4 linked regions of the Danio rerio genome follow. The protein of the gene in region 2 purifies or fractionates together with the protein of the main gene of each other region. This does not show direct contact. Links are inferred from orthologs where the notes say so. Each region holds a gene or a part of one and is shown on either strand. Other genes may lie near its edges. The genes, in order: fam241a, nrp1a, bcs1l and ubr2.

What was found.
Region 1: the proteins of nrp1a (region 2) and fam241a purify together in Homo sapiens (affinity purification with mass spectrometry; 3 studies listed by BioGRID and IntAct, with this or other methods). This does not show direct contact. The link is inferred for Danio rerio from reciprocal best matches to the Homo sapiens genes NRP1 and FAM241A.
Region 3: the proteins of nrp1a (region 2) and bcs1l purify together in Homo sapiens (affinity purification with mass spectrometry; 3 studies listed by BioGRID and IntAct, counting the BioPlex papers as one, with this or other methods). This does not show direct contact. The link is inferred for Danio rerio from reciprocal best matches to the Homo sapiens genes NRP1 and BCS1L.
Region 4: the proteins of nrp1a (region 2) and ubr2 purify together in Homo sapiens (affinity purification with mass spectrometry; 3 studies listed by BioGRID and IntAct, counting the BioPlex papers as one, with this or other methods). This does not show direct contact. The link is inferred for Danio rerio from reciprocal best matches to the Homo sapiens genes NRP1 and UBR2.

What each region holds. Positions count from the first base shown.
Region 1 is NC_133188.1:13,067,202-13,072,850, forward strand, and holds fam241a (uncharacterized protein FAM241A), read right to left. Parts: upstream 3,537-5,649; 5' UTR 3,427-3,536; coding exon 3,295-3,426; intron 2,905-3,294; coding exon 2,623-2,904; 3' UTR 1,201-2,622; downstream 1-1,200.
Region 2 is NC_133199.1:1,253,336-1,256,945, forward strand, and holds the end of nrp1a (neuropilin-1a isoform 1 precursor), read right to left. Parts: intron 2,261-3,610; coding exon 1,974-2,260; 3' UTR 1,232-1,973; downstream 1-1,231. UniProt on the Homo sapiens protein: Cell-surface receptor involved in the development of the cardiovascular system, in angiogenesis, in the formation of certain neuronal circuits and in organogenesis outside the nervous system. Mediates the chemorepulsant activity of semaphorins.
Region 3 is NC_133184.1:40,117,707-40,121,461, forward strand, and holds the end of bcs1l (mitochondrial chaperone BCS1), read left to right. Parts: intron 1-242; coding exon 243-415; intron 416-514; coding exon 515-632; intron 633-1,918; coding exon 1,919-2,171; 3' UTR 2,172-2,266; downstream 2,267-3,755. UniProt on the Homo sapiens protein: Chaperone necessary for the incorporation of Rieske iron-sulfur protein UQCRFS1 into the mitochondrial respiratory chain complex III.
Region 4 is NC_133188.1:3,259,557-3,265,082, forward strand, and holds the start of ubr2 (E3 ubiquitin-protein ligase UBR2), read right to left. Parts: upstream 3,815-5,526; 5' UTR 3,811-3,814; coding exon 3,727-3,810; intron 1,141-3,726; coding exon 881-1,140; intron 1-880. UniProt on the Homo sapiens protein: E3 ubiquitin-protein ligase which is a component of the N-end rule pathway.

The sequences.
Region 1 (5,649 bases), on a different chromosome or scaffold from region 2:
CATATATTTATTTATATATATAATATATTTATATTTTGCCTTTAAGTGACAAAGCACTTTAAACATTTGTCAATATTAAGTCTTTAAATCACATAAAATCTATTCAAATTTACCATTATCACAAATTATTAAGTATAATCTAAGCCCAGGTCAGAATAGGTTGTGAAACGACAGCAGATTTCGACATTTTATATTCACAAATGTTATGGAAAACATCGACATAGACACTTTCATTTAATTTGTGGATGGAGACTCAGTGGTTAGCACTGTCGCCCCACAGTAAGAAGGTCACTTGTTCGAGCCCCTGGGCCAGTTGGCATTTCTGTGTGAAGTTTGATTGTTTTCCTTGTGTTCGTGTAGGTTTTAGGTTTCTTCCGGGTGCTCCTGTTTCCCACACAGACATGCAGGCACTTGGAAGGGCATCTGCTGTGTAAAACATATGCAGGATAAGTTGGCGGTTCATTCCGCTGTGGCAACAAAGCCGAATGAAAATGGAATGAATGAATGATTAGTGGATTTCTACAAGGAAAAAGGCAACTGCAATTATTTTAAAGCATGATTGTTTTTATTATGATAACCCAGGTTTTTAGTTGAATTACATTGCAGAATGATTTATAATGTATAAAAAAAACAACTCAATTAAAATAATTTAATCAATACAAGTATCCCTCATTAAACCCACCACCAGCAAATAAAAAATTGTGGCAAATACGTTGGTAAAATGAAAAGTACAGCACATGAGATGCAGATGAACACTGAAAAGAATCACATCAAATCAAAAGTTGGCATCATGTCAGCAATTATGTCACATTACAAACAAAGTAGTTTTTCTCAAAATCTGTACCAAAAAATAATCAAAATCAAATATGATTTTCATGAGTATGACATCATCTTGCAAAAATATTCACAGTTACATAAACAGCAGGTAATTAACCGTGCTTAAAAAGTTAAATCATTTAATAATAATCAAATGTAGTATTTCAAAAAGCATTAAGTGCTATTAAAACAGCCTTTATATATTTCTGATTCTGAATATCCTACAAAACAAACTGTTTCAAGATATTTCTACTAAATATGTTGTATTTATGAAATCATCATTTGATTTCATTAATATTCATATTGCATTATTTCTTTAACAGACAGCATAAGCAGATTGAAAAGAGATAGTTCACCCCAAAATTACAATTCTTAGTTTCTTTATGATGATAGAGAGAATTTTGATGGATGTTGGAAAGCAGCAGGCATTGATATTCATAGTGTGTGCACAATATATGAAAATTATCATTATAACGATAATAGTATATGCAATGATTTTGTTTTACTACTGCTAACCGTTTAAAACAGGGGTGTCCGAACTTAGTCCTGGAAAGCCAGTGTCCTGCAGAGTTTAGTTCCAACCTCAATCAGACACACCTGGGCTAGATGATCAAGCTGTTACTAGGCTTTCCAGAAACATCTGTACAGGTGTGTTGAGGCAAATTGGAGCTAAAATCTGCAGGACACCGGCCCTCCAAGACTGAGTCTGGACATCCCTGGAACAAAACATTCTTCAAAATATCATCTTTTGTATACAACAGAAAAAAAAAGGTTTGGTACCAGTAAATGCTCAGTCCATTTTTAATTTAGGGTGAACTGTCCCTTTAAGAAACATCAGTTAATAAACAAATCCAAAAATACAGTGCATAACGTAGATCTTTTTCATGATAGGTTTGGTTTTAATACAGATTCCTCCTCTGCTCAGACTCTTGGAGAACTGTATTTAATTCAAACTGTCAGACGAAGTCCAAAAATACCCCAGCAGCCCCAGAACATTCACATGCAGTAGTATTAACACATTCAAGTTTTAACTCAGAATAATTATTCATCCCTGTTAGATTTCCTAACACATCTTAAAAGGGATAGTTCACCCAAAAATGAAAATCGACTCACTATTTAATCACCCTCAAGTTATTTTAAAGCTTTGTGAGTTTCTTTGTGCTACCAAACACTAAAGAAGATATTTTAAAGAAAGCTGAAAACCTGTAACCATTGACTTCCATAGTATTTATTTTTTCTACTTTGGAAGTCAATGGTTACCAGTTTCCAGTCTTTTTTATCTTCTTTAGTGTTTAAGTGAGTAAATGACAAAATCATTTTCAGTTTCGGATGAACTATCTCTTTTATAAAGAATGAGGAAGGTTGCCCTCTAGTGCAATTGCGTAGAGAAAACAGGACTGAAACCTGGGAACACATCAGCAATACATTCAACAAGGATACCACTTTCATTTCAAATGACTGTCAAGCTGATATGTACAACCAGTTATAATAAAGCTCTTCAACCTGTACAGGTTACGACAGTCATCCTATCTCTATGCACCAATCAGGAGTGAAGGGAAGCATGCTTTTCACAAATGCCTTATGCATGAAAGCGCATAGACTGGTGGAATCATTCTAGCAATTAAAGTAAATCCTCTGATTATCTTCAATAATTCACCTTCTTGAATATATACCCACATTACAAGAAAGCAAACAACACCCGCGTAAACGGAGTTGTGGAGCTTGTCGTTTACAGAAAGGAGTCTCAATCTCCTCTCTACTGGCTGTAAGTGGCAAAACTGTCCTTCATCTGTATATTCTCGTCTGCTATTTCTGGATGTAAATGATAATGATGCACAGAGTTCCCACGAGGCCAAGCGCTTGGATACCAAGGAACCACAAAAGCAACCAAAACACCAGCACGACCACCGGCTCCACAATCTTCTCTCCGAAGTAGAGCTGGGTGAATCCAAGACCCCTCAAACACTTGTTGAGCTCCCCGAACAAAGTGCCCATCTTCTCACAGTCATCCACCTGTGGGGCCTCCGGTTCAGCTGGTTCCTGCGATGGCTCAGCATTGTGTGGTCTATCTCTTCCCCTGGGGTCATTCTGAGCGCAATGACAGAGTAATTATACAGTAATTATACAGGGTGTAAAACACTGACACCATTTGAGTGTCTGTGGGAGTGTGTTTATGTTTGTAATATGTACTGTCGCTATATATAGCAAGGCAAAAAAAAAAAAACAGGTTGGTATACTTGGGTTTCGTCATTTCGTTATGTTGAGGCTTAACAGAACTCCTTATGTTATACCAAATGAATGTGACAACATTGCAAAACAGCTATTTATAGAGCTGTTGATACACAAGGGGAAGGCAGGGCTGTTTCTTAGTTACTGATAAAAAACAACAGACTATTCTAAAACTTTTAACTCGTAGTATACAAGTATAATTTAAAAAAAACAAGTCAGGTTGGTCGAGATGTACGTTAAGAGTCTTACCAGTTCTCTGTGTGTGTGTTTGACAGCGCGCTCATGCTGGTGTCGACACCCGCTCCGTTCTCGCGTCCCGGTTAAGAAGTCTCGATGATGACGTGTCTCCGCATCATTTACGATACGATTAGTATTTGACATATTAATGCTAAAAACAGAATGATTAATTTTGACCTGAGACGGGGCCGAAGGGCTGGGAAACAGATGGCTTGTTGGAGATACTTCCGGTGTTGGCTGTCAACAGACGGCGCAGCCTGACGTCACAAATCACGGTCAAAATAAGAGTTGTGGTGTTTTATTTACCTGTTTTTTTAAACCCCTGGCAACTAAGTTTATGCCTTTTGATTGTATACTGTTAATACAGTTTCAGTGGGTAAAAAGTGATATATTACAATTTTACGTCTACCTTATCTCCTTAAAAAAGTTTTTAAAAAATGCAAATTACAATAAAATAACATATATATGTACATATATATTCACATTGCGTCCTTAAAAAGTAACTAACACATTTAGTTACGTTTTTAAATGACTACAGATTGCCATATATTACTTTTTTCCCAACACTGAGTTGCACTCATTTAAAAAAAAAAATTTTTTTAGATGTAAATACATTTTACAGTTTGTGGTTTGCGGTAAGTTTGTACAACTTACATAATAAAGGGGGAAAGTTGTCATTGCATGTCGTGTCATGTGAACGTTACAATAATCTTTAAATTTAGAGAAAAACAAAAACACGTGCATTAAGAATAGATGGGTGTTAGAATAAGCATGAACAAAAACATTTCCTTCTTTTAATATAGTTTAATATAATTATTAACTTACACATAGGCTGTAGATCTATATACAGTTATAGAAGTGCAAAGGCTGTGTTTTAAAAATTTAGTAACACGTGGGGGCGTATTTCTGCGAGTCGATTCTTTTGAACTTTTCCATTTAAAAGATTCAGCTGCCTTTTTTGTCAAATCTGGAAACACATTTTGGTTTGTCGCGCTCAAAAAAGTCTTTAAACCAATTTTAATCGTCAAATTAATATTTAATTCTATTCATTATGTTATTGATTGATAAATTGCCTGTGTTCACAAACCATGTTTTCCAGTGTTTGATCATGTGTGTGCTGTGCTTTCATTCATTTTCTTGTCGGCTTCCTTTATTAATCCAGGGTCGCCACAGCGGAATGAACCGCCAACTTATTCAGCTGGTTTTTACGCAGCGGATGCCCTTCCAGCCGCAACCCATCCCTGGGAAACATCCACACACACATTCACACACACACTCATACACTACGGACAATTTAGCCTACCCAATTCACCTGTACTAAACTGTGGGGGAAACTAGAGCACCTTGAGGAAACCCATGCGAACGTAGGGAGAACATGCAAACTCCACACAGAAACACCAACTGAGCCGAGGATCAAACCAGCGACCTTCTTGCTGTGAGGCAACAGCACTACCTACTGCGCCACTGTTACCTGTGCTTTCATTAATCTGTTATTAATATTACAAAAATCAAAGGTGAATAAAATGATAACAAGATCATTACATTTCTTCCTAAATGCCCTGTTAAAGGAAAATTCATAGCAGTCAAAATTATTGAATGCGACAATATGGGACATTGAGTTTAAAGTAAATTAACTTTGTATAATAGCAGATACAGGCGTTATGGGTTTTACCCTAGTATTTTTTTATTGCTGGTTTTCTGGAAGCTCCAGTAAAGGGCATCAAGAATTTAGCTACCAATTAATGGCCTAAACATGTATCAGCCTGGACAGACATCTACCAGTTCTGCTACAGCACATCAATCTCTGCTTGTATGGATGCTACTGTGTTCTCTGAAGGTATTACTAGAGCAAAACAACTGCACCTGTAACAGGGAAAATTGTTTTTGTAAAGAATAAAAAGGTATTTTAAAATTTTTTTTATTTTATTTTGATCGTTCAAACTACTTTTTTAAAATGAGCTGAAACAACACAATTCTTGAGATTTCATTGGGACAACAATTTTTTTTATGTTCAATCCATATAAATTTGTTAAAAGTGTTAAGTTTATTTATATGAGGTGCCGTGTAGAGTTTAAATTTAACTTTGCTTATCAACACATACATAAAACGGCACCTCATATACTTAATCAATTTGTGTTGGGACAACGTGAATGAATTGTGTGGAACCCTGCTTTTTTACAGTGTATATATTTTTGTTGCTTGTTCAAACTAAAATGAGCTGGAACACCAAAGTTCTTAAGTTTTTTAAGGACAATGTTATTGTTTTATATTCAATCAAATCAAATTAGTAAAAATCATTAAGCTAACTAAATCAATTTGCATTGAGATGAGGTGAAGGGATTGTGTGGAACCCAGCATTTTTACAGT
Region 2 (3,610 bases):
CCGTATTCTCCTACGAGAGTGATTAAAGCGCCTCCCGATGGTGAATGCGGTTATACTCATGACAGGTATTAATTGTTAGTTTGCTAATTTGTTTTGTTAATTAAACCGTCAAACGTCATCTGGGAAACAGTTTGAATTTCCGCTTAGTAAAAAACAGTAGTGGTCTACTTGGGACGACCCCACATACATATACTTTGCTGTTGAGTGTGTAAGTGCATAGTGTGCCATTTGGGACACAGCACTTGACTATTTTGTGTACTTGATTCAATCTGTTTCGGTAATTCAGCATTCATTATCAAATACTATAATATATACACTCACCGGCCACTTTATTAGGTACACCTTACTCGTACCGGGTTGGACACCTTCAGATTTGCCTTAATCCTTTGTGGCATAGATTCAAGAAGTTACTGGGAATATTCCTCAGAGATATACACTCCCTTTCCTCCACATCACAATGGTGCTCAATTGGATTGAGCTCTGGTGACTGTGGAGGCCATTTGAGTAAATTTCCTCTTTTTCAGACCATTGTAAACCCTAGAGATGGTTGTGCATGAAAATCCCAGTAGAGCAGCAGTTTCTGAAATACTCACAGCAGCCTGTCTGGCAGCAATAACCATGCCACGTCACTTAAATCCCCTTTCTTCCTCATTCTGATGCTTGCTTTGAACTGCAGCACATCGTCTTGACCCTGCCTAAATGCACTGAGTTGCTGCCATGTGATTGGCTGATTAGAAATTGCATTAACAAGCAGTTGGACAGGTGTACCTAATAAAGTGGCCGGTGAGTGTATAGTATAATACGCTTTACTATTGGATCCTTGCTCAAAAACACTACAGTATTTACTATAAATTACTATATTATTTTTTTTCACGTGGGGTGTGAGAGACGCACTCTTAAAAATAAAGAGTGAGAGAACATTAAGGATTATTTGTGTCTTCATATGAAGAGCATTTTAATAATCCAAAAATATTGTTTCTCCACTTTAACGGAATTGAACATCTGATGTGAAATGTTCTTCGCACAATAATCAATGTCTATTTCAGTGTAAGACGATGCTCAGCTTTATATGAGACAGCGGATCCTGTGATGGACTTCTGTTTTGAACAAGGGCTGCATCTTTTGGGAGCGTAGCAAAAAGAACCCAACAGGACGGAAAAAAAGCACACGTTTCACTCCACGAAACACTCAGACGATTGTATTTACAACATACAACCCAGGAAAAAAGGGATACTGCAGCTCTCTTTTTTGTCCTTTTACTTGTTTCTTTGAAAAGGGCATTAAAATATATTAAAACGTATGTACAATATGCATGATTTCGACATTAAAGCGCTATGAATTTCCCCGGGATTCGTTTTGCAGTTTCAGCCTTGTTTTGTTTTAAAGAACTAAAGGGTTGAGAACGCCATAAAACAACAGAGGAGGCCAAAAAAGATGTACCAAAGGCACTGACCGAACCATACCCAGAATGCAACAGGGCTGGATGATATTCCACCCCTTTGATCCTAATTACCTTCCCTTGGCCGTATATATGGTTCATTTGGGTTTTTTTGTTTGTTTTTGTTTACACATCTCCTTAAAGCGCAAAACAATCTCTTTTTTTAAAAATAAAAATAAATTCCTCCTAGAAAAGAAAGAAAAGATAAATACTTTATAACATTATTATATATTGGTCTCAACACCAGCATCCGATTGTAAAAATGATCAACCAAAAAATAATACAAAACAATAAAATAATAATTTCAATCATCTGTACATATTCGTGTGTTTTTTTTTCAATGTTTTGTACACAGTGTCCCCCTACTGGTGGGTTCTATTCACTGCAGCTCCTGAGAAAAGCATGGCTCAGTCCCAGTCCTCCTCCGATTGGTTCACTGAACCACAGAGCCTTGTCCTCCTCCAATCGGATGGCATCGGCAGTCCATGTAGCCCCGCCCCCCCTGAGGAGAGATTCCCTCTTATTGGTCGGCGCCTCACGCTTCCGAGTACGAGTTCTGTGAGTTGAGCTTGTCCTTCTTTAACTTGACGCCGTCCACCAGCTCAAAATTATAGTTCTCCAGGGCTGATAAGTTCCTGTCTGACATGCCGCTATGAGAGCAGGCGCAGTACAGCACCACGCCACAGATGGCGCCCAGGAAAACACCAAGCGCACTCATGGCGATGATAGTAATGAGGATGGGGTCCAGGGTTTTCAGCATGTTTCCAGCTCCGCCGATATCTGGGTTCTCCACGATATCTGGGAAATCGGTGATGTCCACCACTGCAAAACAGCAGGTACGACACATGTGAGGGTGTGTTACATTTAAAGACCGCATAAACCGGAAGTCGCAACCGTTTTGTGATGCAGTTCCAAGAGAAACGGAATATTAAATAGGAAAACAGTGGGCGTGGCTTGTTTTTTTCCACTGCGAGCGGATTGGATGTAGTGAAGTAGGCATTTCATTCAGAAAGATGGGGGAAAAGGTTTGGGGAGAGTTATTAAACCCTAACAGACTCCTCCTGCTCACCATTTCTGTTAGATGTCAAATCTGACAGCAGGAGGGGCGTGGCTAGGTATGTTAGCCACGCCCTATACCTCAGACAGATATAAAACAACAGGTACGACACATGTGAGAGTATGCTTTATGTAGAATATGATATCTTTAACACCAAGTCAAATTTGAGACCTTCTTTAGACAATTTTAAATGAACTTAAGACTTACATTAAGGATTTTTACTTGGCCCATTAAAAAAAATTGTAATTGCCTGCAGCTCGCTCTCTGCAACTCTCACATGCTCGCCCACTGAAGCTAAACAGGGCTGCACCCAGTCAGTAACTGGATGGGAGACCACATGGAAAGCTGGGTTGCTGTTGGAAGTTGTGTTAGTGAGGCCAACAGGGGGCGCCCAACCTGCGGTCCGTGTGGGTCCTAATGCCCCAGTATAGTGAAGGGGACACTATCCTGCTTAGTGAGTGCCGTTTTTCAGATGAGACATTAAACCGAGGTCCCGACTCTCTGTGGTCGTTAAAAATCCCAGGATGTCCTTTGAAAAGGAGTAGAGATTTAACCCTGGCATCCTGGCCAAATTTGCCCACTGGGCTCTGTCCATCATGGCCTTCTAACCATCCCCATATAAAAATTGGCTTCATCACTCAGTCTCCTCTCCACCAATCAGCTGGTGTGCGGTCTGGTGCAATATGGCCAGGTGGATGCTGCACACTGGTGGTGGATGAGAGGATCCCCCATCGTGTAAAGCGCTTAGAGTGTCTAGAAAAGCGCTTTATAAATGTAAGGAATTATTATTAATTACTTAAATAATACTTAAATGTGTTAATGTATCTGTGATGTCCAATGAAGACTGCAAAACAACAGATACGACACATGAGGAAAAGCTGTTACCTTTAAACCGTTTCCATTTCTCTATGACACCACTGTTACTGTTGGGTTCACGCTTGAAATTTCTAGGTGATGTACGCATACTACATATAGTTTTTCAAGTTAAGTTCAGGTTTTAACATATATATATATATCAGTCATTCATTCATTTTCTTTTCGGCATTTCATTTAATTATTTAAGATATTATTAAAATTGGCATGATCACTTATTACTTTTATAATTCAAGACTGTC
Region 3 (3,755 bases), on a different chromosome or scaffold from region 2:
TTGCATGGTCTTTCATCTCATTTTATGCTTGAATAACAAAATAAATGCTTAAGTCTATTTAACTGATTGTATTTTAAGTACATTACAACATCCGTGCTGTAAAAGCAACCTTATGAAATTGAAAACAGTCACATTAACCTTTCACTGGAAGTTTATCGTTGGCTGAAAAACACTAGCTGTGCATATAGCTCATTCAGAGTTTCACATCTCTGTATACTTATTGTACTTTTTCTTCTTCTCAGAACTGCTCTGGCAGGTGAGCTGGGCTACAGCATCTGTCTGATGAGTCTGAGCGACCGCAGCCTGTCTGATGATCGCCTCAATCACCTGCTAAGCGTCGCTCCGCAGCAGAGCATCATCCTGCTGGAGGACGTAGATGCAGCCTTTGTCAGCCGCGAGCTGCTGCCCACCGAGAGTATGTCTTGCTGTTGTGCTTCTGAATATTCACAGCCTAACTATACTGTGATGAATCTTGATGACACAATATAATCTTCTTTCCATTTTTTTCTCACAGATCCACTGGCCTATCAAGGTATGGGACGGCTTACGTTTAGTGGGCTTCTGAATGCTCTGGATGGAGTGGCATCTTCAGAGGCCCGAATTGTCTTCATGACTACTAATTTCATTGAGAGGTAAGGCTTGTTTTTCCCCATGAAGATTTAGTTTTTTTTTTGGACTTTGGAATGTGAAATTGTGGCTATAATAGCACAAGGAATTGGAAGATTGGTGGTAATAAATTGTGTGTGTTACAGTGCAATGAAGGTCAGATCCTGGCAGATGTTTTAATATCCAAATGTTGTATAATTGTACTTATTATATTTAATAAACAAATATAATTATTTCATAGAATGAAAATCCAATTAAGTGTATATACGGATATTAAGTAAATAAAGGTTTATTTATGTAGCATTTTTCACAGACATTAAGTCACAAAAGGCTTTACAATAATGCCCGATTTACTCGGGCCTCAGCGTCAATGCTTGACGGAGGGCATGTCTGAAGTTAGGGCTGACGTGATCATCATAACAGCGTCAGCCAATAAAATTAGTCTGCAATCGGCTACTGTTTGAGCTAGGGGTATTTGCATAAAGCGATCTGATGAAAAGTAATGAAAAGTTGAGAAATTCCCAATTTCTGCAGCGAGCAACACTACTGATGCAGCACTGACGGATCTGCAATTCAGTTCGGCAACGCTTTATGTCACCCATTCAAAGCTAATGGGAAGTGCTGATGCTGATACCCCATGTGAATGGGCCGTTAAAGAAGTGTGGAAAGGGGTGTTTATTGTATTTTATTATTTTTATTTTAGAATATCCTGATATTCATTGTACTTTTGCATCCTAGATAATGTCATTTATATTCCCAACAAACATGCTTGCTTTAAACAATTGTACATAATAATCAGGTTTTGCTGACATTAAAAAAAATTGTTTAAAATATTTTTTTAGTCATCATTTATTAGTATATATTTAATATATTTAGTTTATGTTAAATAAGTCTGTATATATTTTTAAATATTTTTTGTTCCCTATTGCAAAATACATATTTTTTAATCTCTTAAAATAAATAATTTACACAATATTTCATTTATAAAGGATATTTTATGTGATCAAAAAAATTATGTTAGTGTAATCTTTTTTTTTAATTCAAACATAATAAATAAAACAAACATTAAATATTGTCAATTCATAAAATGTTTTTTTGGTCTTTATAACTGCTCAATTATTATCACACGATCACTCTTTTCTGTAGTCCAATCCTTACTTATTTTAAATAAATTAGTCCATTATTAATCATTAAAAACATTAATCATGAAGTACCCAGTGGTCAATAAGACTTGGGACTCTGAACAGTCTTTGGTATTAGTAAAATGGTATTGTTTCCTTCCCCTTCTCATTTTCTTCTCCTCGATGTGAAGACTCGATCCGGCTCTCGTCCGCCCCGGCCGTGTGGATCTGAAGCAGTATGTTGGCCACTGCTCGCACTGGCAGCTGACTCAGATGTTTCGGAGGTTTTACCCTCAGGAGTCTGCAGCCGAGGCAGATCACTTCTCTGAACAAGCACTGGCCGCTCACACAGATCTTAGCGCCGCTCAGGTACAAGGACACTTCATGCTCTACAAGACTGACCCAGCCGGGGCTATCAAAAACATTGCAGAGATTAAGGACTGAAGATTTTCATAGACTTTTGTTTGAAGAGCAGTCAAGAGCAACAGTTCTTGCTCACAAATTAATGCTCAAAAATTGGAGTAATAAAATAAGACTTGTGGAATATTTGTGTATTTTGCTTGGTTATTATGGCTGTATTTCGGAGGTTTGTTTTGTGTATATTGAATCATGCCTTATATGTGAGCGGGACATGCACTATCTGACAAAAGTCTTGTCCCTATCCAAGTTTTAGGAACAACAAATAATAACTGGACTAGTTGATCATTTGGTATTAGAAGTGGCTTAAATGAAAGGCAAAGGCCTCTAGATTACCCTTATTCTTATAGAATCTTGGGTCTATGTGGGTTTCAATAGGTCTTCTGCAGTATTTGTGATGCATTCCACAGATCATTCATCAGACAAATCTACCTTCTGCCACAAATAATCCACTAGAAGTCAAGTTATTATTTGTTGCTCCTACAACTGGGATCAATAACAAGACTTTTGTCAGGTAGAGATCTATTTTCCAAATTTTTTGCTTGTGATTAATATTCATACAATTATTAATGCTTTAAAATTCTAAACATTCAGAACATTTCTTTCTGAACAAGAGCATGTGGTTTTGTAACATTTTTTTGTTTGTTTTGAAGCCTTTTCCCTCCACCCTGTAGGAACTGGAGGAAAGGTGAATGTTAAAGGCAGAGTTCAGCCAGATTAAAAATTGCCTTTATTTTTATCGTCATCATGTCATTCAAAACCTGTACTTAGTATTATACCAGGAAAATAACAGAATGTTTACTATAACGTTCTCTGAAAGATTGAGAGCCACGGTCTGCATTTACATACAGCTTCACTCACTCTCAGAAATAAAGGTAAATGAGCTGTCACTGGGGTGGTACCTTTTCAAAATATACACATTTGTACTTAAAAGGTCCATATTGGTACTTTAAAAGTATATATTAGTACCAACAAAATTTAAGAGAAACACTTTTGTACTTTTTAGGTTCTAATATGTACCCTTGAGGCATTAATATGGACCTTTTAGGTACACATTTGTACTTTATGAAAAGGTACCACTCCAGTGACAGCTCGTGTACCTTTATTTCTGAGAGTGCTGTATGAAAAAGAGCAGAGAAATGGTGACTTGGAACGAATCAGACTTAGTATCTTCTGATTAAAGGCATAGTTCATCCAAAACTGAGAATTCCATCATTATTTACTTTCACTTGTCACCAACCTGTTTGATTTTCTTTCTTCTGTTAAACACAAAAGAAGATCTGCAAAAAAAAATCTGCAACCATTGACCTCCATATTTGTTTTTCCTACTATAGAAGTCGCTGGTCATGATTTTGCCAAGTATGATGCGATCCTGGAATAAAACATCTATGTTGATCCTGGAACATCATTTTTGTTGGAAAATGTAATCCATACCTCTTCCCTACCCCTAAACCCAGCCATTACTGAATTATTCCTAAAATCAGAGAGGAATAATAGCTGGATAATGATCATGTAAAATTGCATAAGTCTAAAAACCTAACATAAACTGTAAACACATCCCTTAATTCTGATTGGCTGATTCATAGATGTTTATTCAGGAACATGTCCTAC
Region 4 (5,526 bases), on a different chromosome or scaffold from region 2:
GAGCTGATGTTCAGCAAAACATTGTGACATTTGCAACATTTTGCTGCAAAGTTTCAAAGGGATGGAAAGTAAATAAATGGCAGGCGGATATGATGCAGGTAAAAGCATCTTACATCTGTGCGAAAGCGTTTTCAGGCATTTTAGTGCGGATGGCGGAATTGAAATCGATAGTGTGGACATGGAGCATTTTTTGACGAAAACGGTTTTCGAAATTTTACCAGATTAGTGTAGACGTAGCTTACATTAAAGCTGATTTTTACTTCTGCGTCGGCCTACGCGAGGATGCCTAGCCCTCACCATCGCTAAAGTGCACCTTTCAAAAAATTTAACTACACGTTGCAACGATGCATAGTGCAAGCTCTGTGATTGGTCGGCTTGGTAGCGCTGACAAGTGTGGGCAGGAGCCACGCAAGCCCTATGGAGCGTTTGTTTACAAGTGTGGAGTCCCATGAAGGAGCTTCGGATGGAAAGTTTTGTATTGTGTTTACCTCATGGTTAAAGTTGTTGCACGTCCGCCGATTCCGAATGAGAGATTTCAGCTGCTGTCTGGGCTTTCACTGCTTCTCTACGCCTCCCTTTCTTCATGTGTTCCAATACTTTTGCCTTGCAACATTTCATTTTATTACACATAACTTCTAAATTAATTTGTTTTCTTTGCATATCTGTAATTATTTGGATGCTTCCAACATCTGGTGAAAATTTCAAGTCAATGGCACCTTTAGAAATGATTTCTGAGAAAAATGATGACGTGTTCAATACTGATTTTCCCTCCAAATGACCCCTTCAAACATTGATGCATGTTAATTTCAAGCCCTCCAAATGACCCCTTCAAACATTGATGCATGTTAATTTCAAGCCCTGTGCGATATTGACACTGTACCTGCAGGAGTATGTTGGCTCTCCCACTTTAAACACATGGCCACAAAGTTGTGACGGCTGGTTGTTCTGTTCGAGTTTGGACAAGCCCACGGACGGCTCTTCCCCACAGAGATACCACTCCAGCGGGCCCTGAAGCAGCAGCTGAGCGAGCAGGTCCTCGTTCTGAGGGTTGAGGTTGGGACCCAGGCAGTAGATCTTGGGGACATAGCAGGCCAAGTGCTGGTACACCTCTTTGGGTAGGTTGCTCACCTGTAGCCATTTCTGTGAAAAGATGGGTAAATTAAACGTTTTTAATATGAGAAAAATTGCACTTTACATTAAAGGGGACCTATTATGCCCATTTTTACAACATGTAATATATGTTTCTGGTGTCCCTAGAGTGTGTATGTGAAGTTTCAGCTCAAAATGCCACACAAATAATGTTTTATAACTCTTTGAAACAGACCATTTTAGGCTTTGATCCTAATTGTGCTGTTTTGGTGATTGTTGCTTTTAATTCAAATAAGATTATGCTCTTTTCAAAAGAGGGCGGAGCTACAAATGCCTGTGCATCAGCATAATGGCAGATTCAGAAGCAAGACTAACGTCCTTTGCTAATGAGGGATGGTCACTAGTGGGTGGGGCTTTCCCATTCTGATGACACGTACAAAGGGAGAATGTCAATCAAAGTGTTTCTGACTGCTTTGATCAAGTGTGAATATAAAATATTTAATTAATAGATTTTTTCCATTATAAGTTGGAACATTTAACATTACTGAAAAAGTTAACCCCCTGATCGTCAATGTATAATTTGCACCCTGATTGCAATAATACCACAGAAAAACAAAATATCACATTTTCAGATTTTTCCAATATTGTGCCACCCGAATATATATATATATATATATATATATATATATATATAAATATATATATATATATATATATATATATATATATATTCCAATTCCATGCAAATGTCAACCTTGCCATGAAAAGAATTAAGTTTTCACCAAAATATGGAAGTTTTTTGTGTAGGTTTGTATTTTACAGTACTTTAGAAATACTTCAAAATGACTGTCAATGTTTTCAAACTATTATGTTTGAATTACTAAAGCCACACAAATGGAATTTACACATCCGTCACTTCCATAACGAAGAAGTGTCACATCCATAACGACACTTTTTCCTCATAAATACAAAACTGTAAAATAAAATAAAACCAGTCATGTTTGTTTTATAGAGATCCAACTCTTCTCCTTTTGATTAGCAATATTTCTTTTGGGTTGTGCAGTTTAATTCACAGAACTTCTACAAAATATGTACAAAGTATACTGTAAACTTGCAAGCTTTTTTGGTCACATCCATAACACTTTACTTTCCTTATTTAAAGTATAAAATTTACAGATTGATTTTTTTTTTATCCCATAACTCTGTGGTTAGTTGTCCTGGAAAATATCAACAGTTATTTCAAAATAATGTTAAATTATACTTTCTATGTGAATTTATGTTTTGAATTTTTACTGCCAATGTCACATCCTTAATGCTGGAATAGCTCATATATACTCATTCATATATATATATATATATATATATATATATATATATATATATATATATATATATATATATATATTCATTCAAATATATATATATATAATTTTATTTGTTTTAATAAAGTGACAAATTGACTGTGCATTTCATATACTATAGAAAAATAATCCGATGCAAATACAGACTCTGATTTAGAAACTATTGTTTTGGTTTTTTTGCAATTGTTTTGAAGGAAATACTGTAAGAACCTAGCTAGTCTCCATTGTCTACAGTTAATGTGTTTGTTGTGCCAGAAACACATGCTGTAAAGGAAACACAGAGATTACGTATACAGCACAAGCAGAACTTGGCAGTCTCAATGACTGTCTACATCGACCTACTAACCTGGATTTAGGACTTGAGAGAATACAGTTAAACAAACCAGATACAGACAATTGACCAAGTGCTTTTGAGATTGTTCAAAAGAGATTTTAATCTCATCAATATAGAACTCCTTGTGATGTAGGTCCACGTTTTGTATGCACATGGTGATGAAAAAAAGTGCAAAATAACCAGGACATGTACTGTTATCGTTCAGTTCATCACACAACACAACCGCAGTGAATTGAGGTCTTGTGGTTCAGACAACCGCCACCTGAATTACTTTGTCAAAACAAACCTACTTTTTTATATGATACACGTGGCATGGAAATGTTGTGGGTAAATCAATTTACAAATGAAAAGAAAAACAAGCATAGCTGGAATATCAAACTAATGTTTAGTTTGCAAACCCATAACGTTCTACAGCACCTGCTGAAGGAAACCAGAAAAACAGCTCATATTACCATTATCACAAAAATGCTAAATATATATATATATATATATTTTAACTATTTATTTGTATAAACCAATTCAAAGCGACTGTCAAACTGTGTTAATAACAGGATAAACATAATGACGTATAGATGATGAACAAAGCAGCCAATGTTGTTTTTCCAACTCTTGACAGATCCTTTTAAAATATCACTGACACCAAAACCATACGCTAAACCCGAAAAATCACTAAATAAAAAAATATATATACTAAATCCATATTTATAAACTGATAATGTGTGCAAACGGCGTGTCAGATGTGCGTTTTTTTAGGCTGAGGTGTGAAAATCTCACAGGCTAGCGTTAGCTGTTAGCGCGCTAGCAGGAACAACTGAGCAAAACAAGATGAGGAGCGAGAAAAAAAACTGACAATTCATCGCCAACGTGTTGATTTTTGCAACCAAACACAAACAGATCGCCAGTAGAGAAATTTTGCGTAGTGTTCATAAAACTGTCGCCTACCGCAGCGGTGTCCTTAGCGGAGAAATTGAGGAATTCGCTACACAGAGCGGACGGTGCATCACGATCGGTCTCGGCCGCCGCCATCTTTACTTCAGTGGCCACCAGCAAACCAGCAGGAGCAACAGCAGTGAAGGAAGCGGAAATCAGCCGCTCGCCCTTCTTCCGTCAAGGAGCTGGCAAAACTTTTCAGCTGACTAATGGAAAAGTGTCGCTGTTGTTGCCACGGTGACGGTGCACAAAAACAGCCGCTCCCTCCTCACGTGTGGTTTACAAGTACATCTGCAAACTGTGAATTGATTAAAAGTTGTCTTTCCAAACTTTGTAGCTAATGTGTTGTCATTTTACTAGTAAACACCACTGAGGTGAAGTTTTATATTCGCACATATAGTCAGTGACAACTTGTGATATCCTCACTATACTGCTTACCATGGTACATTGGATAGCAATCACATATATGACTTCAAAACAACCCCATTTGACTGTGGACTTTGATAGTTATTTGGCATTGAGGTAAATTTGGTTTTATATTTGGCTCATTCTAACTTTCTCCTTAATAAAAGCATTTCAGAAAAGTCTTATTTACTTATTCTAAATAGGGAAATCATATTAGTAGCCGTGACTATCAAAGTATAACATTGTTCACAGTCAGTTAAACAGAGCTTGATTTGAAGTCATACATGCTTCAGACCGAATATTCAAAGTAGCGTGGTAGCTAAACAATAGAGACCATGTCACAAGTTGTTACTGAATGTGTGAATATAAACCAACTTCATGTCATTGGCTGCAGTGTGCTAATATGATTTGCCCATTTAGAATTACCAAAGTTGCCTAAAATTATATTATTATGGAGAAGGTCTGAGTGAGTGAATATAAAACAGGCTTTACCTCAACGTAAACACCCACTGGAACGGTTTTTGGAAGGATTTTGGGACTGCGAAGACTAATGTAACCCTGGACCACAAAACCAATAGGCTACTTGTCCATTTTTTGGAAATGTTTGTTAACCATATAAGCTGAAAGCTGAATAAATAAGATTTCTATTGATATGTGGAAAAATGGTGTTCATGACTTGAAAGCTGTTCTAAAATCTTACGGGAAAAAAAATAGGCTTTTTGGAAGGATTGTGTGACTGCAAAGACCGAAGATGAAAATTCTTGTAACCCTGGACCACAAAACCAATCATAAGTCTATTTTTTATTTATTTATTTGAGTTTACTACATAATCTGAAAGCTGAATAAATAAGATTTCTATTGATATGTGATTTTATGACAATATTTGACAGGGAAACAACTATTTTAAAACCGGTAATCTGAGGGTTAACATATTGGCAAACGTTTGCAAAACTAGCTTTACCTCAATGTAAACACCCCTCAAAAATGGTGTTTATGACTTGAAAGCTGTTCTAAAATCTTCGAAAAAGATATATCATGTTGACATTTATAATAAAATAAATGTTTATTGAGCATGAAACCCGATTGGGAGGAGTTATGGAAGGATGGTGTGACTGAGAAGACTAGAGTAATGATGAAAATTGTGATCCTGGTCCACAAAACCAGTTAGTGTCCTTTTTTTTTTTTTTTTTGGAAATTTGAGTACATAATCTGGAAGCTGAATAAATAGCATTTATTTATATATTGTTATGATAGGACACTATTTGACAGAGAAACAACTATGTAAAAACCTGTAATCTGAGGGTTAAAAAAATCTTAACAAAATAAATAATAATGATAATATGATAAAAAAAACAATAATAATAATAGTCTGTGAAAGTATGAATGTGCGAACCAACCAATAAGGTA